2 linked regions of the Elephas maximus indicus genome follow. The protein of the gene in region 2 binds, or shares a complex with, the protein of the main gene of each other region. Links are inferred from orthologs where the notes say so. Each region holds a gene or a part of one and is shown on either strand. Other genes may lie near its edges.

Region 1 (6,987 bases), on a different chromosome or scaffold from region 2:
AAAATTATCAAAACCAAGTTGTTTTCAGCTGACCCAGGAAATATTAGTCAACCTGGACAAAAGTAACACAATGACGTGGTTGAATCTCACAGTGTTGGTCAAAAGAAGCCAAGGGCAAGAAAGTACTAAATGTACGGTCCATTTATATAAAGTCGAAAACAGGCAAAACTAATCTTTGGTCACAGAAATCAGGAAAGAGGTTCCCCTTGTGTGAGGAGGGGAGTAACTGGAGGGGGTTACAGGAGGATTGGTCATGTTGTGTTTCTTGATCTGGGTGCTGGTTTCAAGGGTGTTTCTCTTTGCGAATATTCATCAAGGTGCACACTTGTGATCCGTGCACTTCTCGGTATGTATGCTAGATTTCAATTTTAAAAGCTTATGAAAAAATAGAGAGTTTCATCACCCAGCCATCCATTAGATATTTATTGCGTGCTTACTGTGTGCCAAGCGGGAGTTCTGTTCAGGCGCTGGGATGAAGGCCTGAATCCGAGCATCCCGGCCTCTTGATTGGCTGTCCTTCCAGCCAGTGGTGGAAGAATTCGCCGCTCTCAGGCATCCCAGCTGTATCATCAGCTGAACTTCCTCAGCTCGGCTTGTAGGCGGCGCTGTGGGTTTACCGACTCCTGCAAGCGCAGGCCTCGTTCCCATCCTCTGTTCTGATTCTCTCAGGAAAGGAGAGAGCAAATGCCCCAGCGCCCCCACCCTCTTTGCAAAATTCTTTTGTGGATTTTTCTGCCTGTGCGTCTCTTCCATGCGGGTCCAGGTCCCCAGGCCTTGCTGGTACCTATCCCGGCTCCCCCGTTGGCTTGACCTCCAGTTCCGGCCATTGGGGCCCCTAGGGCGATGCTTGGGAAATCTTGACAGCGGCCCAGGCTGGCAGTCGGCACTTCTATCGGTGTGCTAATTGTTTACTTGGTTGTTTATTTATCCTGGAGTGGAGGCTAGCCGGGTGTGCGGGGGCGGCTGCCCCCAGGGAAGCCGGCTTCCTGTGGTTGCCTTGCTCAGCTTACTCCCGCCCTCTTGTGCACTAGAAAGATATGCAGGGCTAGAAGGGCCTTTCTTGATGGTTCCATTTGTCCAACAAAATGCTGCCTGAGCGCCTGCCTTGTGCCTGGATCTGTGCTGGGCGCGACTGAGACAGCCCCAACCCTGCCTTCACAGGGCTCACAGTCCAGTGGAAGAGAAAGACCTGTCACTACACAAGGTCGACCCAGGGTGATCAGGGCTTGAATGGGGAGTCAAGGGGGCTGTGGGAGCTTACGAAGGGGACACCTGACACAGCCTAGTGGGTCAGGTAGGGCCTGGTGAAAGAGGGGACATCTAAGTTAGCATCTGAAAAAAGGGTAGGAGTTAGTCAGTGGACAAAGGCTGTATTTTTTTGGCTACCATGCACCCAGTGCCTACCGTCCCCTTTGTTTAGTATTGGATTAATTCATTTATTCATTAATTAACAAGTATTCATTATGAAAGGTCCCTAGATGGTGCAAAGGGTTTATACTGGACTGCTAACCTAAAGGTTGTAGGTTGGCGCACAACAAGCAGTACCAAGGAAGAAAGGCTATTAAGATCACAGCCAAGGAAATCCCATGGAACGGTCCTACTCTGTAACATTTATTATGGGCCATTTACAATAACATGGAACTAGCTAGACGGAGTTCCTGCTTTCAAAGGACTCACACATAAAATGGTTGTACCAAATCATTTTGTCCCCCCAAAATTTATGTTCAAGTGCTAATACCCTGGTACCTGTGAATGTAACCTTGTTTGGAAATTGGGTCTCTGAAGATGTTATCACTTAAGTTACCATGAGGTCATACTGGAGTAGGGTGGGTCCTGGTCCAATATGAGCAGTATCTTATAAAAGAGAAGAGACTGTTTTTGGGCTTTTAATGAATGCAATCATACAGTTAGCACTCTTTTGTGCCTGGCTTTTTTCGACCAACGTTGTTTGTGAGATCCAGCCACTTTATTGTGTGCAAGGGTAGGTTGTCTATTCTCACTGAATGTAGTATTTCCACTGTGTGAATGAACCACAATGCATTTGTTTGGTTGCATCAGCCCTGATGGAGTGCTATGAAGAAGTTGTTATTGTTGTTAGGTTCTGTTGAGACAGTTCCGACCCAGTCCTGCGCCATCTTCATGATTTTTGTTATACCTGAGCCCACTGTTGGAATGTGTCAATTCATATTGTTGAAGGTCTTCCACTTTTTTGCTGACCCTCTACTTTACCAAGCATGATGTCCTTCTCCAGGGTCTGATCCCTCCTGATAACATGTCCAAAGTATTGAGAAGTAGTCTCACCATTCTTGCTTCTAAGGAACATTCTGGCTATACTTCTTCCAAGACAGATTTGAAGTAATAGATATGCAGTTTCCTGACCCCAACCACCTAGGTTTCAATCCCAAATCTGCAACTTATTAGCTATGTAACCTCTGAGTGCCTTACTCTGAGTTATCTAGGAGCCCTGCTGGGTCAATGGTTAAATGCTGGGCTGTTAACCAAAAGGTTGTGGTTTGAACCTACCAGCCACTTCGCAAGAGAAAGATGTGACAGTCTGCTTCCATAAAGTTTTAGAGCACTGGAAACCCTATGGGGCAGTTCTAACTATGTGTAAGGCACGATTCGCAGCACTTTACAAGTATAACTCAATTCTCACCGGAACGCTATGGAGATACGATTATTATCCTATTGTATAGATTACGAGACTGAGGAAAGAAATGCAAAATGCAATAGGAACATAGCCCTTCCTTCATGCATTGCACATATATTGACTGGGCATTCAGATTGCTCACTTCCAAGATCAGTGCTTTCGGAGAGGTCCCAGAGGAAACCCCTCAGTTCAGAAGAACTCAAGGGTTGCAGAGTTGCCCTCTCCCATCATTTCTACTTCCTCTCTAGGCTCCCCAACTGATAGTCGCAGTCATTTGCGCAATGCTGATTGGCCGCGAGGGTTGCTCTGCAGGACCAGGCCCCGCCTCCTCACCGCCAGACCAGACGATCAAGGAATCAGGAGCTACTTCCATTAATGCGCCGATCGCGGGCAGATTTTCTTCACTGCAAGGGTAAAGAGCACGCGCTCGCCAGCCCCGCCCCTTCTTCCGGGAGAACGAATTGAGAGGCTCGGATTGGGCTGAGGCGAGCCACGCCTCCTCAGGTTCCCCAATCAACTCCTTCGTTGGACGCGCTCCCTTATTCCCTAGTCCCTCCCACCGCCTCAAGTTACTTCTCTCCCTCTCCCCCTCCGTTATCTTGGGGGCTGCGGCTCGCGCGGCAAACCCACCTCCCCTTGCCTCGCATTGGCTGGTCAGGTCCCGCGCGAGCGGAATCACACCCCCCTCACTCCCGCCCCCAAAGCCCGGCCATGCCTCTCCCCTATTGCTCTCTCCAGAGCCAGCGCGAACCCGGGGATCGGCTGCTTCGGGCGCGCGCATGGGCGCGCCCGCCCCCTGAGGGCCACGCCCACCGCCGGGAGGCCCCCCTCCCGCGCACGCGCACTTGCCCAACCCAGTCTGCCGGGTCGTGGGTCTCCTCGCGCTCACAGTCTCGCGCCGCAGCCACCGCAGTAGCGGCTTCTCGGGGCGCACGCGCACTGCATCCTCCACGCCCGTTTCCAGCCCCACGCCGCCGCGGTGTCTGTGAGCCCCTCGAGCGCGCACGCGCTTCTCGCTTCGGCTCGCTGTCCTGCGCCGGCAGTCCCCTCGCGGCGCGCACCCAGGGGCCGTTATCCCCCTGCAGCGGTCCCCGCGCCGCGCACGCGCAGTAGTGGGGGCGCGCGTGCGGGAGCGGCGGCCGCAGAAAGGAGGCGCCGCGGTCGCAGCCGTCGCCGCCATTGCGAGGGAGGGAGTGAGGGAGCGAGCGAGCGAGGCCGGTCCGCCCTCCCCCTGTTCCCGCCCCTCCCCCTTCCCCCCCGCCCCCCGCCCCGAGGGAGAGCCGCGGCGCGGCACGAGGAGGAGGAGGTGGTGGAGGCGGAGGAGGGAGCCCGCGAGGGAGGGTCCGCCCGGCCCCCCGCCGCCGGAGCCGCCGCCGCCTCACCCGCCGCTGGACGAAGAGCAGCAGAACATGGCGCCGGGGCCGCCGTCGCCGCGGCCGGGATCCCGGGGGCCGGGGCCGCACTGAGGGCACCCAGCTGGTGAGTGCGCGAGCTAGCGAGGCTGGGCGCCGCCCCGCTGCGGGGTCCAGGGGGAGGCGGGGACGGCGGGGCCCGCAGCCCGTGAACAATGGAGGAGCCGGAGGGGGAGGGGAGGGAGCGGCCCCCAGCCCCCCGCGCCCGCACCTCGGCCCGGCCCGCAGGTCCCGGCTCTCTTCGGACGTGCCCGTCCCGGCCCTGCTGTCCCCTCGGTTTTCCCTTCTCCCCACCCTTTGGGATCTCGGGTTATCTGCCTCTGTACCCCCACTTCGGCCGCTCTGCTCTCTCCTGCGCCCCCCCCTTCCCTCTTCCGCCCTGAGTAATGCTCTTCGCTCCTTCTGGACTCTGCAGTGCTCATGAGACCCGCCTCCTCCTCTCTGACCCTCTGCATCCCTTAATTCTGGCTCCCCTCTTTTGAGATCCATGACCCTTTTGCTTCTTCTCCGAATCTGCTATCACCGCCCTTCGGATCTGTCCCTGGCTGCCTTCTCTCATCATCTCCTCCTCCTGCTGACTCCCCCTCGCTCTGAATCGGTTGCACCCCCAGGAGCTGTCCCTCTAGGACCTGCGATTCCACCTCCTTGGAGACCCATCGAGACCTGGTTCAGCGCCCTGCTCGTTTTGGCACTGCTGACCCCACTTCTTCCTCTTGGGCTTCATTCCATCTCCTTCTTGGCTTCTGCTGCCCCGCAGTTCTGTCCTTGCTCTCTCCCAGAACCTGCCGCACCTCCGGGGATGCCCCTCTGCTTTCTGACCCTTCCTGCTCCCCCTGGAACTTGGATGCACCACATTTGTTTCCTTTTTTTTCTCATATGTTGTTTTCTTTTGCCTTTCAGACCCTTTTCTTTCTTCCAGACCTTTCTGCCATCCAGCATTGCCCTTTGCCCAGTTTCAGACCTTGTTGTGTGGCAAACCCGCTGGCTTTCCCCGCTGTGCCTTCCCATGAAGTAGCCTGCTCCTCTTCTCTGACCCTGTATTTGTCTCATTTGTGCGGTTAACTTCTTTTCTGATCTTTCTCCTCTTCCTCACAGCATCCACTTCATCCTGAGGTCCTGACGCCTGTCCTCAATGTTGTATTTGAGGTTTCCTTGCTTCCCCACTTTCTTTCTGGCATTATTTTTGAGCTGTCCCATTCATTTGCCCCCCCCCTTTCTTTGGTCTGCCTCCCCTTCAGTTCTTTGCCTGGGATCTGCCACATGGCTCCCTCTTTGCTCCTGGTCCTTTCCTAATTTTGGCCCCCCTTGGATTTGCCGTTTACCTCGCTATACCTTTGATAACTTCTGTCTTACTCATCACCCCATTCCCTTCCCATTTTGCATCTCACAGACCTGCCCTCAAATCCTTTTTTGCCCCTGCTCTTTTTCCTCCTTTGCTTGATTCTGCCCCCACCCTCTTTGGAGCTGTCCATTTGCCCACTTAGTTTCAGACCCATTTTAACTTTTTTGTTGCTGTCCCCTCTTGAAGTGGTCCTCTTTAATATGAATCTATTAACTGCCTCAGCTTCTTTTCCCTCTCAAGTCGAAGTTTTCTACCTGACATTTTCTCCCCCACCATTTTGATCCAGCTCTCACCCTCCCTGCTGTCCTTTTTTGTGGCTGTCCTTCCCTTTTTGCCCTGCCTCTTACCTCCTTTTTGAGTTCTCTTTCCCCAGTTCTGTCTAGTATTAGAGATGTCTTCTCACCCATTTCTGCTATCATACTTTCCCCCACCCCAGCAAGCTTCTTCTTAGAGCTGCTTCAGTTCTTTGATAGGTTCTTAATTCACACTTCTTTTGGATACCCCTTGCCCAATTCTGTTCTTCTTTGACTGGTTGCCTCCCCTACCTTTTCTTTCCCTTGTGGGTGTCTGGTGCCTTCTCTCCCCAAGTAGTTCCTATCAGACCTGCTTTTCCCAGTTCCCCACTGCTGACCCACCCATTCCCCCTTGAGTGAGTCCTTCTTTTAGGCAAGTCTTTCTCCCTCTCCGTTCCTTAGCTTTGGTGATGAAGTGGCTGGCCAGTCCTAGGTTCTCTAGGCTTTGATTTTAGTGCAGACCGTCTGTCCTGCATCCTGACCCTGAGAGCTTTATCCCAAGGGGAGATTGTGCCGTCTGGGCAAATAGGTGGGGTGGGGGGGTGGGGGTCGTGGTGGATTGGTTACTGCTACCTGGAGTCTGGGAGTATCTCCCCCATTTCTCCCACCTCCACCAAGTTTGGTGGTGGGCGCTGGCTCACTCTTGGCTCTCTCTGTGGTCCTGTCGTCTTTTCTGTGCTCCATTTGTTGCCCACCCCATTGGTGTAGCCCTCTGGGCTTTGCAGCTTTGTGTCCTCTCTCTGGAAAAGGGGCAAGTGCAGCTGCTGCCAAGTCTGTCTTCTCTGTCTCCCTTTCCTTCTCACCTTCTCTGAGCTAAAGAGACAGTGAGTGGTACCCTCTCCCCTTCCACCTCCAGGCCAGAACCCTTGGAGAGAACTTAGTAATGTGTTTTTTTTTCTTCCCCCAGCAGACAATTTATAATTTTGTTTTACGCGTGGTTGGGGAACTGCCATTTCTCGACTTCTCCCCACTCCTAGAGGGGGTGCAGCGCCACACTTGGTGTGTTGACTGCTCTGGGGCTACAGAAGCTGCCCCATCCAGTGGCCTCTGGTTTGCAGTGTGACCTTTGGGGAGGGGCAGAGGGAGTGTGGGCTTATTTCTTTTTCACCCTCTGCCCCAGGAAAGCTTCAGTTTCTTGGTCTTCAGAATGGTGAGGGCCTGGGTTTGGAAAGCACTTTGTGGTTTTTTGTTGAAAGAAAGTGCCAAGTGTCACTCAGATTTCTGCCCTCTGATATTGCAGGCACTCCCAGCCATGGGAGCTGAGGGCCTGGGGTAATCTAGGTGGGGCTT
Region 2 (7,998 bases):
GAAATTAAGGGGCCAGGAAGAAAATAAAAAGACACAGAAATAGGAATTGAGGGAGAAATTAGCAGAAAAAAAGAACATGAAAATATAAATGAGAGAAGAGCAGGTCAAGGTGAGTAAAAAAGAAAAAAAACGCGATAGACAAAAATAAAGGAGGTAGAAACATCAACCCCTTTAAGAAAAAAAAAGTCATTAAAGATAGAAGACTCATTTAAGATTAACGAAGTATGCAAGCAATACTTGTACCTCCACCTGTTGCTGTCAATTCTGACGCATAGCAACCCTATAGGACAGAGTAGTACTGCCCTATAGAGTTTCCAAGGAACACCTGGTGGATCCGAACTGCCGAATTTTGGGTGTACAGCCACAGCACTTAACCACTACATCGGCAGGGCTTCCGCATAAGAAATAGTAAACCTCAAAGTCTAGATCTGTCTGATGGTCAGAATATTTTGCAAAATATTCTTAAAAAAATAAAATATTTTGAAGATACCTTGTCAAAAATGTGTGGTAATCTCTTTGGATGAAAAGGACAATGCTAATTCTAAAGTTAAACATAAGCTAGATAAGATAGCCATACTAGGTTGATTTATGAATAGACATAGGAGGTCCTTCCTACTAGCTGAGAAATTGATTTCCAAACATGTGAGCTGATCTAACCCAGTATCTATTGAAAGGGTGGAGATCTTTTCAAAGCAATGTTTTAAAGATGCCTAGCACTGGGATAGGCAGTAGAATAGACCATAGAATGCCTTTGCAGTCTAGTCTTGTAAATAAAACCAAAACCAAGCAGGTTGTCGTGGAGTTGATTCAAAATCATAGCGACCCTATAGGGCAGAGTAGAATCATCCCACAGGGTTTCCAAGGAGTGGCTGATAGATTTGAACTGCCAACCTTTTGGTTAGCAGCCCAACACTCAAACCACTACACCACCAAAAAAAAATAATAAATAAACCAAACCCAGTGCCGTCGAGTCGATTCCAACTCCTAGCGACCCTATAGGACAGGGTAGAACTGCCCCATAGAGTTTCCAAGGAGCACCTGGCAGATTCGAACTGCCAGCCCTTTGGTTAGCAGCTGTAGCACTTAACCACAACGCCACCAGGGTTTCCACTACGCCACCAGGGCCTAAAAATAACTAGAAAGCAACATAACGCAGTATATAATTGGTGTCAGACTGCATTAAATATTGGCTTTTAAGTGTGTAAGAATTTTCAAAAAGGGGAATTCTGCAAATTATACCTAAGCTCTCGGGCTGAATATAGGCGGTATGTGAGCACTTACAGATCAGTTGTAACCAAGACCTGCTAACTGGCCAGTTCAATGCCTTATATTGACTGACTGATAGTGGTGACTGAAGTGAACGCATTGGAGGTGTGGGATGCTGTTTAGGATTGAATTGTGTCCCCCCCAAAATCCTAACCTCTACAATTGTGGTTATAATCCCACTTGGGAATGGCTTTTCTTATGTTAATTAGGCAGTATTAGTCTAGGAAGGAGTCCTGGTGGCAAAGTGGTTAAGCATTTGGCTGCTAACCCAATGGTAACCCATCAGCTGCTCCACAGGAGAAAGATGTGGCAGTCTGCTTCCATAAGGATTTACAGCCTTTGAAATTCTATGGGGCAGCTCTACTCTATTCTATAGGGTTGCTGTGAGTGAGAATCCACTCGATGGCAATGGGTTTGGTAAGGATTTGATTAGTGTAGAGTGTGTCTTCAGTCAATCTGTTCTGAGATAAAAAAGAGATTAAACAAGTGAGCAAGGAGAGATGGAGGAAGATAGATGCTACACCACACAAAGATCACCAAGAAGCCAAGGAATAGAAGCTGAAGAGATAATGACCTTCTCCCAAAGCCAGCAGAGAAAGTCTTCCCCTAGAGCTGTTGCCCTGATTTCAGACTTCTAGTCTTCCAGTTGACTCGATGGCAGCAGGTTAGCCTTCCAAACTTGAGAAAATAAATCTCTGTTTGTTAAAGCCACCTACTTGCGTTATTTCTACTATAGCAGTACTAAATAACTAAGAAAGATGCTAACACACTGCAGGCCTTCAAGCCAAGGCTATATGAAAACTTGTTGGGGATGCTGTACTTGGAATTTATGCATTAGGCAATAGCTGGAGTAGTTACTTCGATGGTCTCTTCTGAGGTTCTAAAATTAAAAAAAGAAAGAAAGAAAAAAATGTTATCAGAGGACCACCATAAGTACCGGTAGTACTTCATTATTCTCTTAAGTACTATAAACTACTTCATTCTGCTCTTTTTCATTTCCTAACCTTCTTTCTGGGCTAGCATAGAATTTAGTAACCCAACACCTACAGCTCTTACCCATACACTTAATGAATGCCATTGAGTCTGCTTTCTTGTTCATTCTTTCTTTCAGAATGTGTTTAGGTATTGCACACCTTCTTGATTAGTGGCGTAGTGGTTAAGAGTTAAACATAAACTAGATAAGCTAAGCTACGGCTGCTAACCAAAAGGTCGGCAATTCAAATCCACTAGGTGCTCCTTGGAAACTGTGTGGCGCAGTTCTACTCTACCCTATAGGGTTGCTGAGTTGGAATTGACTCAATGGCAATGGGTTTTTTTTTTTTTTGGTTTCTTGATTAGTATACTATATTCTAGAGCAGTGGTTCTCAAACTCAATTGAGCAAACAGGTACTTGGAGACTCACTAAAGGAGTATAGATTGTTGAGCCCTCTGGCCCACAGTTCAGAGGGCCTGATTCAGAGGGGTCTGAAAATATGCATTTCTAGCAAGTTTCTTGGATATTGCTGGTCTGAGGTCACTTTGACAACTATAGTTCTGTAACTATAGTTCTGGTGACTGACTAGTCCATCTTCATTCTCCCAGGTGGTACACTGGGTAAGAGGTAGAACGATTTAGGAATTCTCAGAACTACTATTTAATCAAGTTTATCACTGACTTGATAACTGGCCTACGCAAACTTCTGAAGTAAATGTACAGAGTGTACCTTGTCACCTCTTTTAGCAATCTTTACTCTTTTTCCCAGGCCTCTATTACAGCCCCCCATCTACAATCTGCTCCTATGCTGGTTTGATTGTCCTTATCAGAAAAAATATTGATCTCAAAAATCAATATTCAATGGTATTCAAGGTTGATCCATCCAGTACAAATCTAAAAGACAAGAACAATATATGAATCTAAATGGGTACGTTATCAATCGCATTAGTTTTCTAGGGCTGCCATAATAAGGTACCACAAACTGGATGGCTTAACACAATAGAAATTCACTCACAGTTCTGGAGGCTAGAAGCCTGAAATAAAAATGTCAGCAGGCCATGCTATCTCTCCTAGCTTTTGATGGTTTTGGCAATCTTTGGCATTCCTTGGCTTGTAGATACATAACTCCAGGCTCTCTCCATTGTCACATGGGCTGTGTCTACATTTCCCTCTTTTTATAAGGGCAGCAGTCATATTAGGTTTAGGGCCTACCCACATGCAGTGGACCCTCATCCTGATTATACCTGCAAAGACCCTATTTCCAAATATGGGCACATTCACAGGTTCTGGGTGAACATGATTTTTTGGGGGGACACTACTCAACCCAGGTAGATGGTGAGCAAAAAAGAGGAAGAACCCCAACGAGATGGAGTGATACAGTGGCTGCAGCAATGGCCTCAAAAACACCGATTGTGAGGATGGCCCAGGACAAGGCAATTTCGTTGTAAATAGAGAAATGACAGCACGTAACAACATCCAACCCAGTACACCAATAGTGTAATCTCAAACAATGGAAATGAGTCCATCACATACATGAATGCATACCACAGCTTACATACATTCTAGTACAAAAAGCAAAACAAATCCTCTCTCTTTGGCCATACTAAGGGTGGGATTTGTTAATTGATAATTTTTAAAATTACATCTATCTTTTTTTTTTTTTTGATACTTTAGGGTCTCTCTGGCATTTGGCTTATTGAAGGTGCTGTGTCAACTCACATATGCACCATGCCCTGCAGTTTTCTGCACAAGTGTGAGGAGAAAAGCATGGTTGGTGTCGGCTGTGGCTCCTCCTTCCCACACCCCTTCCTTAGTACTCACGAGACTTGCAATGGCACAGGTGAAAGTACGTGTCTGTGTGTTTTAAAAAAAACAAAACATATATTGGTAGACATCTGACTTCACAACCACATTTATTTCTACCAAAGCTCCCGTTATTCCCATATAAAACCAAAAAAAACCCAGTGCCGTGGTCCTGTTTATTTGTTTCCTTCTTTTGGGTACCAGAAAGTCTTTTTTTTTTTTTTTGAGTTTGTAATAGTCGTACTGTGATTTATATCATGCAAAAAAAAAAAAAAAAAAAAATTAACGGTACAGCCTGGGTCTTGGCAGCAGCATCACAAGCCCCTCATCCACCCCCACAGCTGGCTGCTATCTGGGCCTCCGGCTAAGGCCGTTTTATCCACGGGTCTGGAAGTAAGGGACTGGCTCTGTGGCACCTTCCTTTCCCTTTCTCATTCCTTCCTCTCCACTGCCTCCTTGTCCCTCTCATCTCTCCCGTCTTCAAGGCGCTCAGGGGCCTCGCCTCCTTTACCCTATCTCCTGCAACCAGAGAGGACCGCCACGGGTTAGTTGGGCTTGCGCCGCCGTTCTGGTAGGCACGAGGCCCCTTACGCAGGCCACCCGCCCATCAAACAAAGCCCCGGGAGGCAGGCGCGCGCCGCCGGCGACACCCAAAGAAGCGGTCGTACCGCCACGCGCTCTAAACAGAGCGGGACAGCGAGCCAGGCCACGCGCCGCGCGCCCCCGCCGCTTCCTTCCCTCCGGACTCTTCCTTTTCCTCCCTCCAGGCCCCGTTCCCCCCGCCCCCGCGCCGGGAACGCGCCTGCGCAGACACTGCCCTCTCCCTCCTCCTCCGCCCTTCCTTCCCTCCGTTCCTCCTCCCCTGTCCCGCCTTCCTTTCTCTCTCCTTGGGTTTCACTGAGCTCTAGGTTGTGAGCAGTTCAGTTCATTTCCCCAGCACCCCGCCCCCCTTCTTCATTCTCTCTCCACCCCTCCCATCTCCAGCCCGGTGGAGGATGAAGCGGCCACAGTGGCCCCAGCCCCAGCAGCAACACCGGCGGTGGCTTTGGTGGGGGTGGCGGGAACTCCGGTGGTGAAGAGGCGGTGGTGGCGGCGGCAGCAGTGGCTGAAGCAGTGGAAGCCGCCCCAGCCGCTTCCCCCTTGCTTCCCTTCCTCTTTAGTGCAGCCAGGAAGTTTTTCGCTTCTCTGCATGTGTGTGTGCGTGCGTGTGGGTGTGTAAAGTGAAGGTTTGGGCAGCGTTTGTGCAGGCGTAGGATTTTTTGCCCACTTCGCTTCCCGTAACCCGGGCAGCTCCAGAGCCTGGGCTGTGGCCCGAGGAGGGGGCGCGGCGGCGTCGGGCTCTCTCCTTTTGTTGTTGTTTCCTCCGCCTGGGGAACTGAAGGGGGAACGCGCCTGGGTGGGGCGACTCGGAGCCCGGGCCTGGTGGCCCCCGGGGCTCCCGGGCAGGCAGGGCAGGGCAGAGTAGAGCGGGCTTCAACATGATGGCGGCCGAGGCCGGCAGCGAGGAGGGCGGCCCGGTGACCGGCGGGGCAGGAGGCGGCGGCGCGGCGGCAGGCTCGAATGCCTATCCGGCTGTGTGTCGGATGAAGATACCTGCGGCCCTGCCTGTGGCATCCGCCCCTTATCCTGGGCTGACCGAGGCTGAAGTGGTCGGGAATCTGAGTGGCGGAGCTTCATATGGGCCAGCGTTCCTAGGAGCCGGGTCTGTGGTGGGGACACTGGGGGGAGCCGGACTGACAGGGGGAGGTGCTACCGCTGGTGTGGCTGGTGCAGCTGCCCCCGGCCCTGGTGGGGACATGGCTCTCACCAAGGGGCCCGCTTCGTTGCTTGCTGAGACCCTAGGGCCAGGCGGCGGATTTCCCCCTCTGCCGCCGCCGCCTCAGCTGCCTACTTTGGGCGCGAGCCTGGCGACAGTGGACGAAGGTGACTCTCTGGATGGACCAGAATATGAGGAAGAAGAGGTGGCCATCCCCCTGACCGCTCCCCCAACTAACCAGTAAGTCAAGACTGCTGTTGAGGGACCCGGGAAGCGGCCTCCAGGAAAGAAGTGGGGAGTAAAAGTGGGGAAACGTATGGTGTTCTTTCACCTGTGATTTGTTCTGGAAAAAGTTTTTAAGTTTCAGGCTCCATGTGCGGGGATTTAATATAATCACCCATCTTCCTTACAGGTATATCGTATCTCCTGGCGCCTTCGTATATTTATTGCTCCTCTGGGAAGATGGAAAGTTTTTAAGATGGGAAGCATGGAAAAATATGTATTCATTGAGAACCGGATATGGTTCTGCTCCTTCTAAATTGAGGTGGTGTCCCAGGATTCAGCTGAGTTTGCAGCTACCAAGGCAGTCATTGACTATGTTAACCTGTGTGTGTGTTCCCAGAAGCTTTGAATACGAGCATTTGAGTATTGGGTTAACATCATTCGAGAATGCATTGGTCAGAAGGCTTTGTTTTTGTTGAACTGCAAATCCCAATTTTTGTCTGCTGAAAACACAGTGATATAGAAAAGTCTCTGGATCTTTTAGGCGGTCAGAGAGAATTAGGAAAGCAGTTCTGTGAATTCCAGGTGTGATTAAGGGTTTCATACTCCAACGATGTCTGTAACTTGTTTCATAGAGTATATGTCACTACCAGTGTAATTCCTTTGTAGTTGAGATTCTGTAAGTACAATACTGAAGCAAAACAAAATTAATAGTGCTTCTTATCAGCACTTTTTGTTGGTGGCCAATACAATATCCTGTTTGAAAATTAATTTTAACAGTTGCTGTAGAATATATATGACAGATTTTTTTTTTTTTTATTGTTAGTACCTTCCCTTTGTTATTTTCATAAGTGGACTTTGGTATGTGTTTAAAAAGGTGGACCTTGATGAGACCAAGATGTTGAGATGGGAAATGGTAATAGCTGACAAAACTTGTTTTGTAGACTCCCCACATCAGTTTAATTGACAGAATTTCAGAATATTTGATGATTATCCCAGGAAAAAAGATTTGGTTCATATGATGACAGTCACTGGACAATCAAAAGCCTTCATCAGAGAATTTAGAAAGAAGAAAAAAAAAAAAAAAGAAATTAGCAAGAGATATTGTAATACCAATCTATTTTTGACTTAAGGCATTATGTTTTGATATTTAAGGTGGAAAAGTAAATTAGTCTTATTTATGCCAGTTACGGTATAAGAATGTTGAATATTCCTTTTATACTATTCCATAGAGTTCAGTTTTTTTTGTGTAATTTTATTCTGGCTTATGTCTGTGCATTGCAGATATTTTTGGAGGGGGTTATGGCTTTATTAAAAATTCCAATTTTACCCTGAGGGACCAGATTACTGGGCTGAGGACTGTGGGGACCATGGTCTCCAGGAACATCTAGCTCAATTGGCATAACATAGTTTACAAAGAAAATGTACTACATTCTACTTTGGTGAGTAGCGTCTGGGGTCTTAAAAGCTTATGAGCGGCCATCTAAGATGCTAGATTGATCTCATCCCATCTGGAGCAAGGGAGAATGAAGAAAACCAAAGACGCAAGGGAAAGATTAGTCCAAAGAACTGGTAGACTACAACTACCATAACCTCCACCAGACTGAGTCCAGTACAACTAGATAGTGCCCAGCTACCACCACTGACTGCTCTTACGGGGAGCACAAGAGAGGATCCTGAACAGAGCTGGAGAACAATGTAGGATAAAATTCAAACTCACAAAACAAAACAAAAAACCAGACTTACTGGTCTGACAGAGACTGGAGAAACCCTGAGAATATGGCCCCCGGACACCGTTGTAATTCAGTACTGAAGTCACTCCTGAGGTTCATCCTTCAGCCAAAGGTTAGACTGGACCGTAAAACAAAATGAGACTAAGTGGGCACACCAGCCCAGGGGCAAGGACAAGGCAGGAGGGGACAGGAAAGCTGGTAATGAGGAACCCAAGGTCTAGAAGGGGAGAGTGTTGAGATGTTGTG

The links.
Region 1: the proteins of RASA1 (region 2) and ARHGAP35 are in contact, whole or in part, in a crystal structure (PDB 8DGQ), measured with the Homo sapiens proteins. The link is inferred for Elephas maximus indicus from reciprocal best matches to the Homo sapiens genes RASA1 and ARHGAP35. Residues at the interface, in NP_002881.1 of Homo sapiens: Arg188, Arg207, Ser209, Arg211, Val217, Asn228, His229, Phe230, Arg231, Ile241, Gly242, Tyr256, Leu262, Leu263, Lys264, Lys358, Ser379, Asp380, Asn381, Ser387, Gln397, Arg398, Phe399, Lys400, Met411, Gly412, Gly413, Arg414, His425, Tyr426; in NP_004482.4 of Homo sapiens: Ser1085, Asp1086, Tyr1087, Ala1088, Glu1089, Pro1090, Met1091, Asp1092, Ala1093, Val1094, Val1095, Arg1098, Glu1100, Asn1103, Ile1104, Tyr1105, Ser1106, Val1107, Pro1108, His1109.

Annotation. Positions count from the first base shown.
Region 1 is NC_064829.1:102,129,944-102,136,930, reverse strand, and holds the start of ARHGAP35 (rho GTPase-activating protein 35), read left to right. Parts: upstream 1-3,918; 5' UTR 3,919-4,129; intron 4,130-6,987.
Region 2 is NC_064820.1:93,611,539-93,619,536, forward strand, and holds the start of RASA1 (ras GTPase-activating protein 1), read left to right. Parts: upstream 1-4,903; 5' UTR 4,904-5,519; coding exon 5,520-6,037; intron 6,038-7,998. UniProt on the Homo sapiens protein: Inhibitory regulator of the Ras-cyclic AMP pathway. Stimulates the GTPase of normal but not oncogenic Ras p21; this stimulation may be further increased in the presence of NCK1.